Anolis sagrei: one gene and its partner. The protein of the gene in region 2 interacts with the protein of the main gene of each other region in a biochemical or structural test. Links are inferred from orthologs where the notes say so. Each region holds a gene or a part of one and is shown on either strand. Other genes may lie near its edges.

What was found. The genes of interacting proteins can lie anywhere in the genome.
Region 1: the proteins of FRMPD4 (region 2) and DLG3 interact in a test that uses a peptide from one of them, tested with the Homo sapiens proteins (2 studies listed by IntAct, with this or other methods). The link is inferred for Anolis sagrei from reciprocal best matches to the Homo sapiens genes FRMPD4 and DLG3.

What each region holds. Positions count from the first base shown.
Region 1 is NC_090030.1:21,587,417-21,595,644, reverse strand, and holds the start of DLG3 (disks large homolog 3), read right to left. Parts: upstream 3,573-8,228; 5' UTR 3,484-3,572; coding exon of another isoform or gene 3,468-3,483; intron 1-3,467. UniProt on the Homo sapiens protein: Required for learning most likely through its role in synaptic plasticity following NMDA receptor signaling.
Region 2 is NC_090023.1:92,545,744-92,554,248, forward strand, and holds the start of FRMPD4 (FERM and PDZ domain-containing protein 4), read right to left. Parts: upstream 3,423-8,505; 5' UTR 3,357-3,422; coding exon 3,259-3,356; intron 1-3,258. UniProt on the Homo sapiens protein: Positive regulator of dendritic spine morphogenesis and density. Required for the maintenance of excitatory synaptic transmission. Binds phosphatidylinositol 4,5-bisphosphate.

The DNA of each region.
Region 1 (8,228 bases), on a different chromosome or scaffold from region 2:
CAGTCCTCCTGATTGATCTACCTACCAATCTATCTTTATCCTAGCTATCTTATCTATCTGGAGGATTGATGGGAGTTGCAGTCCAGGAATAGGAAATTGGAAATATGCAGGGATTGGGATGCTCTCAAAGAGATCCAAGGAAAAGAAAGCTTGCAGCTTGGAAGCAGTGCATTTGGATCCTCCTCCTCTCCTAAAGGGATGCTGGTCTAGAAGATGCTGGGAGCTGTAGTCTGGAAGAGAGTGTGGATATGCTGTTGTGTGTTTTGTTTGCCAGGGGGAGTCGTTTTGCGCATGCGCTGTAGTGTCTTTTGGTTTTTTTTGTTTTTTAAGTCCCTTCCGCTGTATTTTTCAGTGTTTTTATGAGTGATGGTCACTCATTGGCTCGATAGGTGTCTTGTGTCCAAATTTGGTGACAATTTGTCCAGTGGTTTTTGAGTTCTGTTAATCCCACAAACAAACATTGCATTTTTATTTATATAGACTAGCCGTCCCCTGCCACACGTTGCTGTGGCCCAGTCTGTGTATATGTATTTTGTGTGTGTATATATATGTATGTTTGTATGTTTGTGTCTATTTTTGTGTGTTTGTGTATAGATGTGATTTCGCACATGCATTGTAATGTATTTTTTTGGGGGGGGGGTGGCATTTAAAGTCACTTCTGCTGTGTTTTTCAGTGTTTTATGAGTGATTGTCATTTATTGGCATGAGAGGTGTCTTGTGTCCAAATTTGGTGTCGATTCGTCCAGTGGTTTTGGAGTTATGTTAATCCCACAAACGAACATTACATTTTTATTTGTGTAGACTAGCCGTCCCCTGCCACAGGTTGCTGTGGCCCTCAGAAAACAGAGGAATTTCAGGCATGAAACAATAGACAGAAGAGGCATATGGAAGGGACACTGATAGATGGAAAAGAAGGTAGATAGATAGAACATAGATAGGTAGGTAGATGGATGGATGGTCAGACAGACAGACACACATATTTAAGGGCCAAAGGGGGTTGGACTGGATGGCCTTTGGGCTCCCTTCCAACTGGTTGGCCTTCTGTCGGGTAGGTGTTGATTGTGTCTTCTTTTACCGCCCAATGAGGTTGGACTCAGGCATGCAGCCGGGGGAGGGGCTTCAGCCCCCCCCCCCCCAAATTCTCATGGTGGTCTGCGAAAAGGCCTTACTGGTACATTATTTAAACTGTTATGTTTATTCATATCATGATCTGATCACCATACTCAATATATCCCATATGCATGGGGGTATTGGGGTAATGATACAAAAGGTTTGCTAGGGTAGACCCTCTTTCACTCAGACTCACCCCCCTCCCCCCGAATCAAACTCAGCTCCCCCTGAATCAACATCCTGGCTGCGGGCCTGGTTGGACTGGATGGCCTTTGAGGCTCCTTTCCAACTGGATGGCCATCTGTTGGGAGGGCTTTGATGGTGTCTTCCTTTGCTGTAAAAAGTGGTTGGGCTGGATGGCCTATGGGACCCCTTTAACTACCATGGCTCAATGCTGTGGAATAATTCAATGGTGTAGACCAGGTAGCGGCAGACTTTGGCCCTCCAGGGGTTTTGGACTCCAACTCCCACAATTCCTAACAGCCTTCCTAACAGCCTTTTAGGGTTGTAGTTGTTTTGTCGCAGTGTTTTTTGGTGTTTTTATGAGTGATGGTCACTCGTTGGCCTGATAGGTGTCTTGTATCCAAATTTGGTGTCAATTCGTCCAGTGGTTTTTGAGTTATGTTAATCCCACAAATGAACATTACATTTTTATTTATATAGAGATTTACTGACTTATGTTTTACTGCTATTGTTATGATTTTATTGATGTTAATGTTTTAATATATATATTTTTTGTATTTTGTGGCATTGAATTTTGCCCTGTAAACTGCCTCGAGTCGCCGCAAGGCTGAGAGGGGTGGTATACAAATAAAGTAAATAATAATAATGATTATTATAAATGGTTGGTTTAACCCTTTGGTTTTGTTTTGTTTTTTGGGGGTTTTTTTGTCGTGTCAGGAGCGACTTGAGAAACTGCAAGTCGCTTCTGGTGTGAGAGAATAGGCCGTCGGCAAGGACGTTGCCCAGGGAACGCCCGGATGATTTGATGTTTTTATCATCCTTGTGGGAGGCTTCTCTCATGTCCCCGTATGAGGAGCTGGAGCTGATAGAGGGAGCTCATCCTCCTCTCCCCGGATTTGAACCTGCGACTGGTTGGTCTTTAGTCCTTCCGGCACAGGGGTTTAACCCACTGCGCCACCAGGGCTCCAACCCTTTGGTTTGCTAGTAAAACAGAATGACCGTGTCGCGGAAGGATGCATACCACAAAAGCATGTCATGAAAAGTTCAGAAAGTTCTTCTCTATGGCGAATCCCAGCTATGAAGCAAGTAGAAAGTGCTGCACCTGTTGAACTTCTGCCTGAGATTCAATGTTTAATAGTTCAGAGCCAGTCCTGAAGAACTGAAAGGAACAACAACAACAAAAAGGAAGTGATTCTATGCTCTGTTGGGATTTCAGGTGGTGTAGAAAGAAAGAAGAAAAGTTTGCACCTGTTGAGCTTCTGCCTGAAATTCAGTAAGAGCTCAGGGCCAGCTCTGTTGGACAGAGAAGCACAAACCCAGAAGGGAGAGCTTCAATGCTCTATCTATGGGACTTTCGAGGAATGCAACTAGTAAACAAAAAGAAGGATGTGCTACACCGGTTGGTCTTCAGCCTGAAATCAATTAATTCATCATTGAGGGCTTGTCACTAACCCAGGTAGGAGGAAGGGAAGGATTGTAGGGTCTTTTTTCAAGCAATGCAAAGAAGAAAAGTTTGCACCTGTTGAGCTTCTGCCTGAAATTCAATAAGAGCTCAGGGCCAGCTCTGATGGACAGAGAAGCACAAACCCAGAAGGGAGAGCTTCAATGCTCTCTCTATGGGATTTTCGAGGAATGCAACTAGTAAACAAAAAGAAGGATGTGCTGCACCGGTTGGGATTCAGCCTGAAATCAATCAATTCATCGTTGAGGGCTTGTCACTAACCCAGGTAGGAGGAAGGGAGGGATTGTAGGATCTTTACAAGCAATGCAAAGAAGGAAGAGCTAGACCTGTTGAACTTCTGCCTGAAGCTCAACAAGTAAATACTTTTAGAGCCAGGCCTGAAGAATAAAGAGGAGAAGGATGGGAGAGATTCTATGTTCAGAGGTATTTTTTAAGCAATGCATTTAGAAGAAAAGAAAGAAGAGCTGCTCCTGTTGAATGTCTGCATGAAGCTACTAGAGTAGATTCTAAAGAAAAAGGAGGAAGTGCTGCACCGGTTGGGCTTCTGCCTGAAAGCTTGATAGTTAAGAGTCCAAAGGAAAGAGAGAAACGCCTCTCTATTAGGGAGAAAGGAAGAGGGTTAAGGAACTCGGAGGAGAAAGTTGGGGAAAGTTCACTTTCGGGCTGCCGTGTAAACAGCCCCTCCCTGAAACCGAAGTGACTCCGCTTTTACCTTTCCGACGGTTCATGGTCCAGAGGGGCGGCCGAAGAGTCCCCAAGAGGGCCGCCCCAGGCAGGAAGGAAGGAGGGAGGAAAGGAAGGAGGGAGGAAGAAGGGAACGCGAAAGAGGAGAAGGAGGAGGAGTGCAGGGCAAAAGGGGCCGGCCTCCAGCTCCTCTGTCCGGGCGGGGGGACCACACTGGACTCCCAACCAAAAAGACCCCTCCTCTTGATACACGACTCTTGATATTAAATGGTTATGACATGGAAGGAAGGGAGGGAGGAAAGAAAGATGGAAGGAAAGGAAGAAGGAAGGGAGGAAAGAAATAATGAAAGAAGGGGGAACGAAAAAAAGGAAAGAAGGAAGGAAAGAAAGGAATGAAGGAAGTAAATAGAAAGGAGGAAAGAAAGGAAAGAAAGATGGGAAGGAGAGAAAGAAAGAAGGCAGGAAGGAAGAAAAGAAAGAAGGAAGGAAAGAGTGAGGGAATGATAATAAAGGAAAGAAAGAAAGTGAAAGGAAGGAAGGAAAAAAGCAGGAAAGAAAGATGGGAAGAAGGGAGGAAAGAAAGAAGGAAGCAAAGAAGGAAGGAAGGAAAGAATGAAAGAAGGAGGGAACGAATAAAGGAAGGAAGCAAAGAAGGAAGAAAAAAGGAAGGAAAGGAAGGAAGGAAAGAGAAAGAAGGAAGGAAGGAAAAAGAGGAAAGAAAGATTGGAAGAAGGAGGGAAAGAAAGAAGGCAGGAAAGAGATAGAAGGAAGGAAAAAAGGATGGAAGCAAAGAAGAAAGGAAGGAAAGAAAGAAGGAAGGAAAGTGTGAGGGAATGATAATAAAGGAAAGAAAGAAAATGAAAGGAAGAAAAGCAGGAAAGAAAGAAAGCGAAAGAAGGAAGGAAAAAAGCAGGAAAGAAAGAAAAATGGGAAGAAGGGAGGAAAGAAAGAAGGAAGCAAAGAAGGGAGGAAGGAAGGAAAGGAGGAAGGAAGGAAAGAATGAAAGAAGGAGGGAACAAAAAAAGGAAATAAGGAAGGAAGCAAAGAAGGAAGAAAGAATGAAGGAAGGAAAGAAAGGAATGAAGGAAGTAAAGAGAAAGAAGGAAGGAAAAAAGAAAGAAAGATGGGAAGGAGGGAAAGAAAGAAAGAAGGCAGGAAGGAAGGAAAGAAAAAAGGAAGGAAGGAGTGAGGGAATGATAATAAAGGAAAGGAAGAAAGCGAAAGAAGGAAGGAAAAAAGCAGGAAAGAAAGATGGGAAGGAGGGAGGAAAGAAAGAAGGAAGCAAAGAAGGAAGGAAGGAAGGAAAGGAGAAAGGAAGGAAAGAATGAAAGAAGGAGGGAACAAAAAAAGGAAAGAAAGAAGGAAGCAAAGAAGGAAGAAAGAATTAAGAAAAGAAGGAAAGGAAGGAAGGAAGGAAGAAAGAAAAAAGGAGAGAAAGATGGTAAGGAGGAGGGAAAAAAAAGCAGGAAGGCAGGAAGGAAGAAAAAAAGGAAGGAAGGAGTGAGGGAATGATAATAAAGGAAAGAAAGAAAGTGAAAGGAAGGAAAAAATAGGAAAGAAAGATGGGAGGAAGGGAGGAAAAAAAGAAAGAAGCAAAGAAAGGAAGGCAAGAAAGAAGGAAAGAAGGAAAGCAGCAAGGAAGGAAAGAGTGAGGGAATGATAATAAAAGAAAGCGAAAGGAAGCAAAGAAGGAAGGAAAAAAAGAAAGAAAGCAAGAAAGAAGGATGGAAAGAAAGAAGGAAAGAGAATGAGGAAATAAAACATTTGTAGTAAAACTTTATTTGTAGAAAGGAATGAAGGAAGGAAGCAGGCAATGGAATAGTTAAAGAGGGATTTGTGTTTCTGGGTTATCAATGTCATTTCCTAACTGGTTCTATCATAAAAACATGGGAAAAGTTTATTAAATAGCAAAAGGTTTGTTTTTGCAAGACATCCCGCAGTACATTTGGCTCTCGTTTTTCCATGAATCTCTCATTGAGTCTCAACCGAGCCAAGATAGTCTGAAGCACACAAAAACAAACTTTTACTTGGAAAAGAGTAGATCAACTCCTTTCCAAGTAAGGACCACACAATTAAACAGGAAGTCCCACTTTCAAACTGGGGACGGAACATTTTTCTGCAGGATGTCCCTTCCGCAACCAAGTTTTTGCAGTTTAATACATTTTTTCCATGATTTTAGGATATAACCAATTAGGAAATGACATTTATAACCCGGGAAAACATGTTTCATAGCGTTCTGGATCCTGACTCTGTTTCCTGAAGCATTAGTTCTCCCTTCCAGTTATCTGCATCCCATGAATCCAAGAATTGGTCCAATGCAACTTACTGTTGACAATGAACTATAAATCCCTCCAAGGTTTGCTTCCAGGAGAACACCGCTTTCTTCTTCCAGCAGGCTTTCAGGATGGGGTTACTTTTATTTGCTTTCCCCCCCACCATTCCAGAGTTTCAATGTTATTTTTAATCACAACTTTGTGGGTGTTTTCCAATCAGGTTTGTATTTATTGTATTGTCGAAGGCTTTCATGGCCGGAATCACTGGGTTGTTGTACGTTTTTTCGGGCTGTATGGGCATAGTCTAGAAGCATTCTCTCCTGACGTTTCGCCTGCATCTATGGCAAGCATCCTCAGAGGTAGTGAGGTCTGTTGGAACTAGGAAAAAGGGTTTATATATCTGTGGAATCACCAGGGTGAGACAAAGGACTCTTGTCTGCTGGAGCTAGGTGTGAATGTTTCAACTGACCACCTTGAGTAGCATACAATGGCCTGACTGTGTCTGGAGCAAGCTTTTGTTGACTGTGCCTGGAGCAAGCTTTTGTTGAGAGGTAATTAGATGTCCCTGCCTGCTTACTCTGTTGTTGTGCTGTTGCAATTTTAGTTTTTTTTAATACTGGTAGCCAAATTTTGTTCATTTTCATGGTTTCCTCCTTTCTGTTGAAATTGTCCACATGCTTGTGTATTTCAATGGCTTCTGTGTAGTCTGACATGGTGGTTGTGAGAGTGGTCCAGCATTTCTGTGTTCTCAAATACAGCATTTTATTTGAGTTCCAACAGACCTCACTACCTCTGAGGATGCTTGTCATAGATGCAGGCAAAACATCAGGAGAGAATGCCTCTAGACCATGGCCAAACAGACCGAAAAAACCTACAACAACCCTTTGTATTTATTTGTTGTGCTGTGTTTTGTAAACTGCTTTGAGTCACTTTGGAGGAAGGGAAAGAGTGGATATAAATACAATAACGAGTGCAACGTATAAGATCCCACTGTCCACAGCCTGAAAAACACCCCAAAAGACAATTTCCAAAGTCATCTGCCACTTTTTATAAAGGGATGCAATTGTAAAACTTAACTTTTATTAGTACTAATGATTTTTGTATGGCTTTGAATTCTTATTTTTTTTATCTATGCCTGCTACTTGTGTTTTACTTGACTTGAAGGAATGCAAATATTATAATAGTAAAGGTTTCCCCTGACATTAAGTCTAGTCGTGTCTGACTCAGGGCGGTGATGCTCATCTCCATTTCCAAGCCGAAGAGCCGACGTTGTCCATAGACACCTCCACGTTCATATGGCTAGCATGACTGCATAGAGAGCTGTTACCTTCCCGCCAAAGTGCTACTTTTTGATCTACTCACATTTGCATGTTTTTGAACTGCTAGGTTGGCAGAAGCTGGGGCTAACAGCGGGAGCTCACGTCGCTCCCCAGATTCGAACCGCCAACCTTTCAGTCAGCAAGTTCAGCAGCTCAGTGGCATAACCCACTGCACCATCAGAGATGGCCATCCAGCCTCTGTTTAAAAGCCTCCAAAAATGAGCTTTTTTGTGTCTCTTTTGGCAGAGAAATAATAACAATAACAATAGAAATAAGCAGCATCAAACTGCCTTAATCCTATTTATGTTTGTTGCTTTGAGACCTTTTGGCAGAGAAAAAGCAGAGCAACAACAACAATGATAATAATAGATCACATCCTCAGCTGCTGCAAGAAGATCGCACAGACAGACTACAAGCAGAGGCACAACACCATTGCTCAGATGATTCATTGGAACTTGTATCACAAATACCATCTGCCTGCGACAAAGAAGTGGTGGGATCACAAGCCGGAAAGAGTTACAGAGAATGAACACGCCAAACTCCTCTGGGACTTCCGAATTCAGAAAGAGAGTTTAGGAGCATAATACTCCTGACCTCACAATAGTGTTAAAAAACAACGTATGGATCATCGATGTGAACTGGAAAAGCTGACACGATATAGGGATTTAAAAATCGAACAGCAAAGACTCTGGCAGAAACCAGTAAAGGTGGTCGGAGTGGTGATCGGCACACTGGGTGCAATGCCTAAAGACCTTGGCTTGTACTTAAACACAATCAGCGCTGACAAAATTATCATCTGCCACCTTACTGGGATCTGCACGCATTATTCGCCGATACATCACAGTCCTAGACACTTGGGAAGTGTCCGACATGTGATCCAATTCAACAGCCAGCAGAGTGTCTGCTGTGGACTCATCTTGTTGTGTTTCAAATAATAATAATAATAATAATAATAATAATTATTATTATTATTATTATTATTATATCAAGCATGGACATGTGAAAATTGTGGCCAGCAAACAATATGTCCAAAGGGTCAGAAAAATTTTAAAGAGCAAATTAAATGGTGGAAATACGATCAAGGCTATCAACACGTGGGCCATCCCTGTCGTCGGATACACTGCTGGAATTGTAAACTGGATGCAAGCAGAGCTGGATGATCTGGACAGAAAAACAAGAAAACTGATGACAATCCAC
Region 2 (8,505 bases):
GAAGGCTGTTAAAATATCTGATTATTACAGCCAAAGGGATATATTCAAGGATGGTGGGTCTTCCCATGTCAGTGGAGTTCCAGGTTTTAAGCAGAACTAAAAGTCCTAACCCCAGCCCACGAACTAGACTTAAATCTTGGACCTCCAACAGATGAATACGGGCTAGACTTCAGGGAGACTGGCATGAAATTCAGAGTCCCTGTTATCTAGGAAGAACAGTATTAAAATGCCAAGAGGGACTTGGTGGCATTGAAACTGCTATTAGTTTTAGTTCTATCTTCTAACCAGGGTGATGAGTGCGGGGGGGGGGGGGGGATTCAGAACCTTGGATAGCTGCTGTGAAGTGCTTTAGCTTTGTTATTCATTCCTTCCCTTTCTGTGTATAGGCAGTCCCCAAGTTACAAACATCTGACTTACAAATGACTCATAGTTAAGAACGGGGGTGAGACAACCAGTAATGAGAGAAATCTACCCCCAGAAAGGGAATTCACTCCTAAAAGAGTTATTAGAGGGAAAAGGTGTCTCAACTGAAGCTTTATCACCAATCCTTGTTTCCATAACTAGCCCCATTTTTCAAAACCTAATTATAACAGGGACAGAAATTGAGGTGAAATCTTCTCAACAGGGTCAAGGACAGGAAAAGAAATATCACATGGGTGTTAATCCTTTCCTATACTATGCAAAGCTTATCTATCCTCCTATTTATCTGACTGGAGTTACACTTTAAAAATGTACCTGTTCTGACTTACAAATTCAACATAAAAACAAACCTACAGAAGCTATCTTGCTCATAACTTGGGAGCTGCTTTTATATGTACACTTTTGGCAAAGTCCATTGTTTTTTTTTTTGGAGGGGGGGAGGGTTTACTTGTAAATCATCATGCACATTAGTGGCAGTAAATTGATGATGATTATGATGATGATGATGATGATGATGATGATGATGATGATGACAAAAACAAAAACATCCACTGTTCTACCAAGGAGCAGCCATTGCTGAAATGGCCAAGTGATCCCTTTACAGCAATCATCAGACAATTTCCTCAGTCTGCATATGCACAAGTATAGAAACACTGCAAGAGAATGGGAAATTTGCCAATGGAGATGGACCCTTGGAGACCAAAGAAACTGCTGCCTTAGCAAAACTTACAGAAGTTCCCTGTTCTGGACAAATGAGCTAGGGGATCTTGTAATTTGTCTCTTTTCCAGCCTTGGTGCCTTTGTGTCTTCCTTGAGTATGGCTGGCACTGCTGAACAAGTGGCAAACAGCTCTTAAAAATATATTCTGCATTCTTGCTATGCATCTGCTGCCTGGCAAGAGCAGCATGCAAAAGGCAGTGTGAACTTAGGTGGCATTGTGGAAAGGCTGTCTTCTGAGGAGCTTTGTGGAAAAGCCTCCTGACAAGTGGAGAAAAAAGGTTAAGGATGAAGTCATGGTTGTAGCATTCATTTAAAAACCAATTCTAGAAGAGCAGATAAGGGAAAGCAGTGCAACTGAAGTTCTTTAATGGAAAGGGTAGAAACCTGAATATTATGCTATCTCAGCAAATGATGGTGTTGCAGACAGAATACCTGGCTTAGAGGAAGACGGGCCAGTTTTAAATTGGTGTGCTGTGACAAAAATCCCAGAATGTGTGGTTTTGGACCAATCACACTTCCTTAAGGGTGCCTTGGACTGACAGAAGATCCAACCAGTCCACATTTCAGTAAATAAAGCCCAGCTGCTCATTGGAGGAAAGGGTATTAGAGACAAAGATGAAGTACTTTGACCACATCATGAGTAGACAGGAAAGCTTAGAGAAGACAATAATGTTGGGGAAAATTGAAGGAAAAAGAAAGAGGGCCATCCAAGGGCAAGAGGGATGGGTGGTATCTTTGAAGTGACTGGCTTGACTTTGAAGGAGCTGATGGTGGTGATGGGCAACAGGGAGCTCTGGCATGGGCTGGTCCATGAAATCACAAAGAGATGGAAGCAACTGAATGAATAAACAACAAGGAACCCTAACAGAATGTGCTAGAGGAAAGCCAGGAATATTGCTTTTTTGAAGCTTGGAAATGTTATTTTTCTGGACTACAAATATTCAGAGATATGTAGGTGAAAAGGGGGGAATTTTTGACAGATCTACCATTGAGTTTTTGGAAGAAGCATGGGGAAAAAAAGGAGTAGCTGGCAGTACTGTCCATGTCAGTGGTGCACTGAACCCACTCCAGATTTTGAATGAGATTTTAAAGGAGCTAACTGAGCTGCTGCCTATCATCAAAATAATATTTGGATAACTGTTTTAAAGTCTGGACTGAAACCTGGAGAAAAAGCATTGCCCCTCTAAAATGGAAGTCATACTGATAAGAACAGATAAATAAATAAAATGGCGCTATTTTTCAATATAACCTAAAACTGTTTATTAGTCATTTAATTAGTTCTTCTGCCTTATGTCATTATACTTCTGCTGGCAACAAAGAGAAGATGCCACAGTTATGGCGAATAGAACAGTTAGCAAAATGAGAGGAGCAAATATTTTACATCCTCTTTATTAATTTGTTTTTTATTTAAATTATTTTCATTCATTTCTACTGCTGTGGTTAAAAAAAACCCATCAGTGTGTGTGTGTGTGTGTGTGTGTGTGTGTGTGTGTATTTGTAGAACAAATAAATACAGTGCCATTTTCAATATTTAACCCATTTGAAAGCCAGATCAGCTATTTCTCTTGATTTTTGGAATTTTAATAACATTTAATCTTTTCAAAAAATGCAATTAAAAGGTAAGGAAAGTTGACATTCCGATATTATTACTCTGACAATTTGCTGACCGTTCAGCTTCACTTTGGCATTACATGACATTAGGTTATCCTGGATATTTAAAACGTACAGACAGTATCCCTTACACATCAATATAAAACAATTTTATATTGTCTTCAAGTTGCCTCTGGACTAATAATGAAGGCATATAGCTTATGCTGATAGGTTGGGGGGGGGGGGGGAAATAAGAGAGAGTCATATCATACTGCAATACAAGTGCATGAATTAGCAGTACTCAACTTTACTTTTCTTCACACTTAATATATATCATACATCCTGCATAGAAACAGAAGTATTTGCTGGTGCACAACAATATTACCTCTAGCTATACAAATCAGCAGTTGCATTGAATGTCAAAGGGCCAAATGCCATTTTTCTATGCCTCCACATAGAGCTCAAACCGATTATATCATTGTGCAGAAATGATGAAGGAGCTTTGCAAAATGATATATTATTACTCACTGACAAAGCTGCTTCTCTTCATCCTCTGTGACCTTGTCGGTGTCCCAGGGAAGACCAAGGGTCTGCTGAATTTCTTCTCCAGGGAACTCTCTCTCCATGATCTTTAGAGGTACAGAAATGTAGCCACTGTCTCTATATTCTTCATTGAGCCAGCCAGAGGCAGCTTTGCTATTGGTATTTTTTCAGAAGGACAACAGCTGAGGTTCTTCACCAGGGAAAGGAGGCAGACACAAAAATAGCTAAGGAAAGTGTGTGAGCATGACAGTGACACAGACACTGGGAAAAAAGACCAGCAATAAGTGCTTGGAGACCAATCATATTCCATTATTCTGCCATCTAGAAACAAGATACGTTTAAGAGGTCATGTGCTTTTAGAGAGCTTTACAAAATCAATGGCTCAGACAGAAACCACAAGAAACCACCCCATCTCCTTTGTAGAAGTATGGCTTTCTGCGGTTCAGACCTGACATTCAGGCTTGTAAACTACATCAAAATGTGGAGCTTCTTAAAGGGAATGTTGATAAACCATAAAGTTTGCTTTTCCCCTCAGTCATTTAGCAGAGTTTAGGATTTCTGCCCTTCTTTTAGCATCCTTGAAGGGACTGAAACTGTAAATGGAAGGACCCAGGGTCCAGTGACTAATACTTCTGCCAGATAAGAAAGACTCTTCAGCCACAGTAATTTACCACAGGGATAATGAAAATAAAGTATGTGTGTGCGCGCGTGTGTATATATATTGCTAGTTGAGCCACTATTCCTAAGTCAATTTTATAACATTGAAGAGTGTCCTTTCCAGGAAGACACCAACAGAGCTCAACTCATCTGAGAATTAATCTGTTCTTTAAATATGTGTATGTATATGAGCTTTCAAGTTGCCCGTCAACTTATTAAAAACTCAGCATGCCAGCCTAGTAAACAACTTATAGATTTACCACCCTGATGTCACAGTATACGTAATATTCTAATAAGTGGCCCTACAGCAGGACCTAAGTAAAATAATTCTATTTATTATTTACTACAAACCTTAGAAAAAAATGGATAAAACCGAGGAGAACAATAGTGCTGAAACTTAAACATTTGAATGTTGTCTATAGGCATACGTTCTTAAATGCAGGGAATATAGAAGAAGGAGGAAGCAGAAACATGTACAGGCAGACCCCAAGTAACAAACATCTGACTTACAAATGACTTATAGTTAGGCCCCTTCCACACAGCTGAATAAAATCCTACATTTTCTGCTTTGAACTGGAATACATGGCAGTGTGGATTCAGATATCCCAGTACAAATCAGATATTGTGGGGTTTTCTGCCTTGACATTCTGGGTTATATAGTTGTGTGGAAGGGCCCTTAGTCTCACCTCTGTGAGACTAAATGTCATGTATCATGTTTTGCAGTATTAAAATTGTTTAATACAAACTGGGTGTTTGTTTGATTCACCTCTGCTGGAAATAACGGCAGAGCCTTGGCATCGTGACACTAAAGGAAGTGAGATAAATCTACCCCTCAGAAGGGAAACTTACTCCTGAATGAATTACCATGGGGAAAAGGTGTCTCCACTGAAGCTCTATCAACAAACCTTGTTTCTAAAACAAGCCATTTTTCCCCAAAATCCAATTCTCATAGGTGAAAGTGAGGTGAAATCTTCTAAACAGGGGCACAGACAGCAAAACAAATACCACAGGCATGTTCACCCTTCCCTATGCTATCCAAAGCTTACAGACAGACACACAGACAGACAGATGAATGTATATGGCTGGGGTTACAAAATTCACCTGTTCTGACTTGAATACAAATTCAACTTAAGAACAAACCAACAGAACCTATCTTGTTTGTAACTTGGGGACTGCCTATATATTCTATATGTTTGCCTAGCACACATGGACATATAACAGTTATGCACATGAAAATGAATGATATGATTACAGTTTGCCTGTAATTTAGTGATAGTATTGTCTCCCTCTTTCTTAGCGATAAGTTCAAACAAGGTAAGCATGCACTCTGTTTGCTGAATGTAACAAACTCCCTATTCTTGTCATGGGCATCACTTTATACATATCTGGGGATTTTTGTTACATGTCTAGAACATTCCCCTTCTCATAAAAGAAGATAGCTAAGCCTTTGCATGAAAGGAACTCTGTGGGGGATGTGACAGCAGTTGGTGAAATCTTTTTTACTCTCCCCACTCTGTATGCAAAACACTGAGAGATGGATAGAGTTATCAAAATATACCTCAAAGAAGCATCAGTCAAGATAATGAAGAAAGACATATTTCAGAGTGAATGATACTATATTCAAACCTGTCTTTCTAAACATAGTTCCAAATTCTGAAACATGCTGCAGCTATTACTAAGCCAACATATTGTTTCTTTATTTCCAATTTATGGCAATCCTTAAATAAACCTATCATAAGATTCTCTTGGTAAGATTTCTTTGGAGGGGAGAACTGGCATTGCTTTCATCTGAGCATGAAATGGTATGACTTGCTCAAGGCCACACACTGGAGTTTTGTAGATGAGAAGGGATCTGAACCCTGGTTTACAGAATTCTAGTCTAATTCTACACTTCTTTTATGATAGTACATATGACAGGCTGATTATCCCTTATTTGGAAATCTGAAAATCAAAATATTCCAAAATATGATCTTGTCTACATGGGCAGCCTTTGCTTTCTGGTGGTTCAGTGGATACAAACTCTGTTTCATGCAGAAATTATTAAAGTATTGTATAAAATTGCCTTCCAGCTATTTATTTTGTGTTTAGATTTCAGCCCTATCTCCAAAATATCTCATTATGCATGTTAATACTAGGGCTGGGCGGTTTTGTTTCGTTAATTCATAATTCGTTAATAATTCGTTAATTTTTTCAATTACAAAACGATAACAAACCATTCTGGAGCAATTTTTTAAAAAAACAAATTTTTAAACACGTTTTGTAAATGCTTCGTATTTCGTTATTGTATTCGTTTCGTTATTGTTCTGAGGTCGTTTCGTTATTATTTCCGCATGTCTGGGGCAAGTTTTTTGTTTAATTAGTGAAAAAAAATTATAATATCACACCAACAGTCAACAACAGAGGGAGAGGGAAGCTTCAGAAGTTTTTGGAGGTTTTTTAGCGTATTTCGCGGTCGCGTCCGCCATTAACGAATCGATTCGTTATTGTTTCGGAAATCGATTCGTTAATGTTTTGTAATTTTTTTCACATTTACGAAATTTCGTAAATATCGAACTTTTTTAAGGGAAAATTTTGTAATTATTTTAAATATCAAAACAAAAAAAAACCCCAAATACAAATCGATTTTAGAAACAAATTTTTCCGTTGTTACCCAGGCCTAGTTAATACAGGTATAGTAGAGGTTTGCTTATCCAATCTTTGCTCATCCAATGTTTTGTATTATCCAATGCAGTCTGCCTCCTGCCCAGATCCACAGATGTTTCAATGCATTACAATGTTTTGGTGCTAAATTCATAAATACAGTAATTACTACATAACGTTACCATGTATTGAACTACTTTTTTGTTGATTTGTTATAAAACACGATGTTTTGGTGCTTAATTTGTGAAATCATAACATAGTTTTATGTTTAAAAGGGTTTTCCATAATCCTTCATTATTCAACATTTTTGCTTATCCAATGTTCTGCCGGCCCATTTATGTTGCATGTGCTTTCCCTCTCCATAAAAACAAACCTACAAGAATTTGACATTGGGTAAATTATGTTCATTTGTTCTCTATAGCTTCTTTAAAAATACTGTATACTGTACTTCACAAATAATTGGGTCCACAGAAAAGCTTTAACAGATTTTGTTCAAGGTCCATCAAGTCACGTGTGAATTTGTTAAGATTTTGCCACTATTCATAAGTAGCTTTCAAAAGCTTTTTTAAAAGTCTTTACAACATTTAAAAATGTTTATGTAATCTAATTGGATTTCTGAATGGTGGTAAATGTATATACACTCAGTGTTTTTCACAGAAACGTGAAATGTTCTAAAAGCCACGTTAATATATCCTGAATGTCCTAGCATATCTATGAAGAAGTTAAACCACATACAGTAGGATGGAAGGGATTATAAAAATGTAGGACATAAAATGTCTTTCTGGGGAACTTTTAAATGTCAGCATCCCTAAATAAAAGTGGGTTTTTAAAGTGACCATGACCTTTCCTGGAGACTTGGAGAATTGCTCATTGTGCTACAGTAACCTTATTAATCCCCCCCTAACAAAATCTTTCCTCTGCAGCCAGTAAAAGAAAGCAGATATGAACACATTCCATGGAATTGGAAAAGTTAGCCCAGGAATGCCTATTGCCCCTTTAATTCTTATATATTTCATTAAACAACAATTCAATAGTTAATGGCACAACAAAAATCAAAGATGTCATGCGTTAGCATGAGTAGCATGCAGACTGACTGTAGCCCAGTTAACTGTGTGTGTGATGAAATTACTCATAAAAGAAAAACACACGAGACTTCGGCTTAAAGTAGAAAAGAAAATATTGTAGTATTAGCAGCATACAAAAACAAAGTAGCAGGATTACTGTTTCCACAAAAGTAACATGAAACAATATCTTCTGAGAGATATCACTACTCAGCTGAGATAAGCAGGAATCCTTGTCCTCTTCTCATGGCTGTGTCTTCACAGGACATCTGCAGCATAGTCCCCGGCTTACACAAAGCAGAACGGCACAGAGGCATAGATGCACAATAGCATAAACGCACAATGGCAAATGGCTAAACACACAGTAGCTATCTTTATACACATGAAAATAACACTCTCAATTAACTCTTCAATTAACTGAAACAGCTGTAGCACAAACAGCCTTGAACCTTACAGCAACTTAAAGTTATAGCACAAACAACAACTTAGATAAAGTACGTTGCAACCCCTTAGTAGCAACAAAAGATATCAATTAATTCATATTAATGTTGTACCTTAGATCTTGCAATAATTACCATAGCTTTCCTTTAGACCAGGGGCCCTCCAACTTTTTAAACAGAGGGACTGGTCACAGTCCATCAGACTGTTGGAGGGCCGGATTATAATTTGAAAAAAAAAAAAACATGAATGAATTCCTATGCACACTGCACATATCTTATTTGTAGTGCAAAAAAACACTTCAAACAATGCAATAATTAAAATGAAGAACAATTTTAACAAGTATAAACTTATTAGTATTTCAGTGGGAAGTGTGGGCTTGTTTTGGCTGATGAGATAGGATTGTTGTTGTTGTTGTGTGCTTTCAAGTCATTTC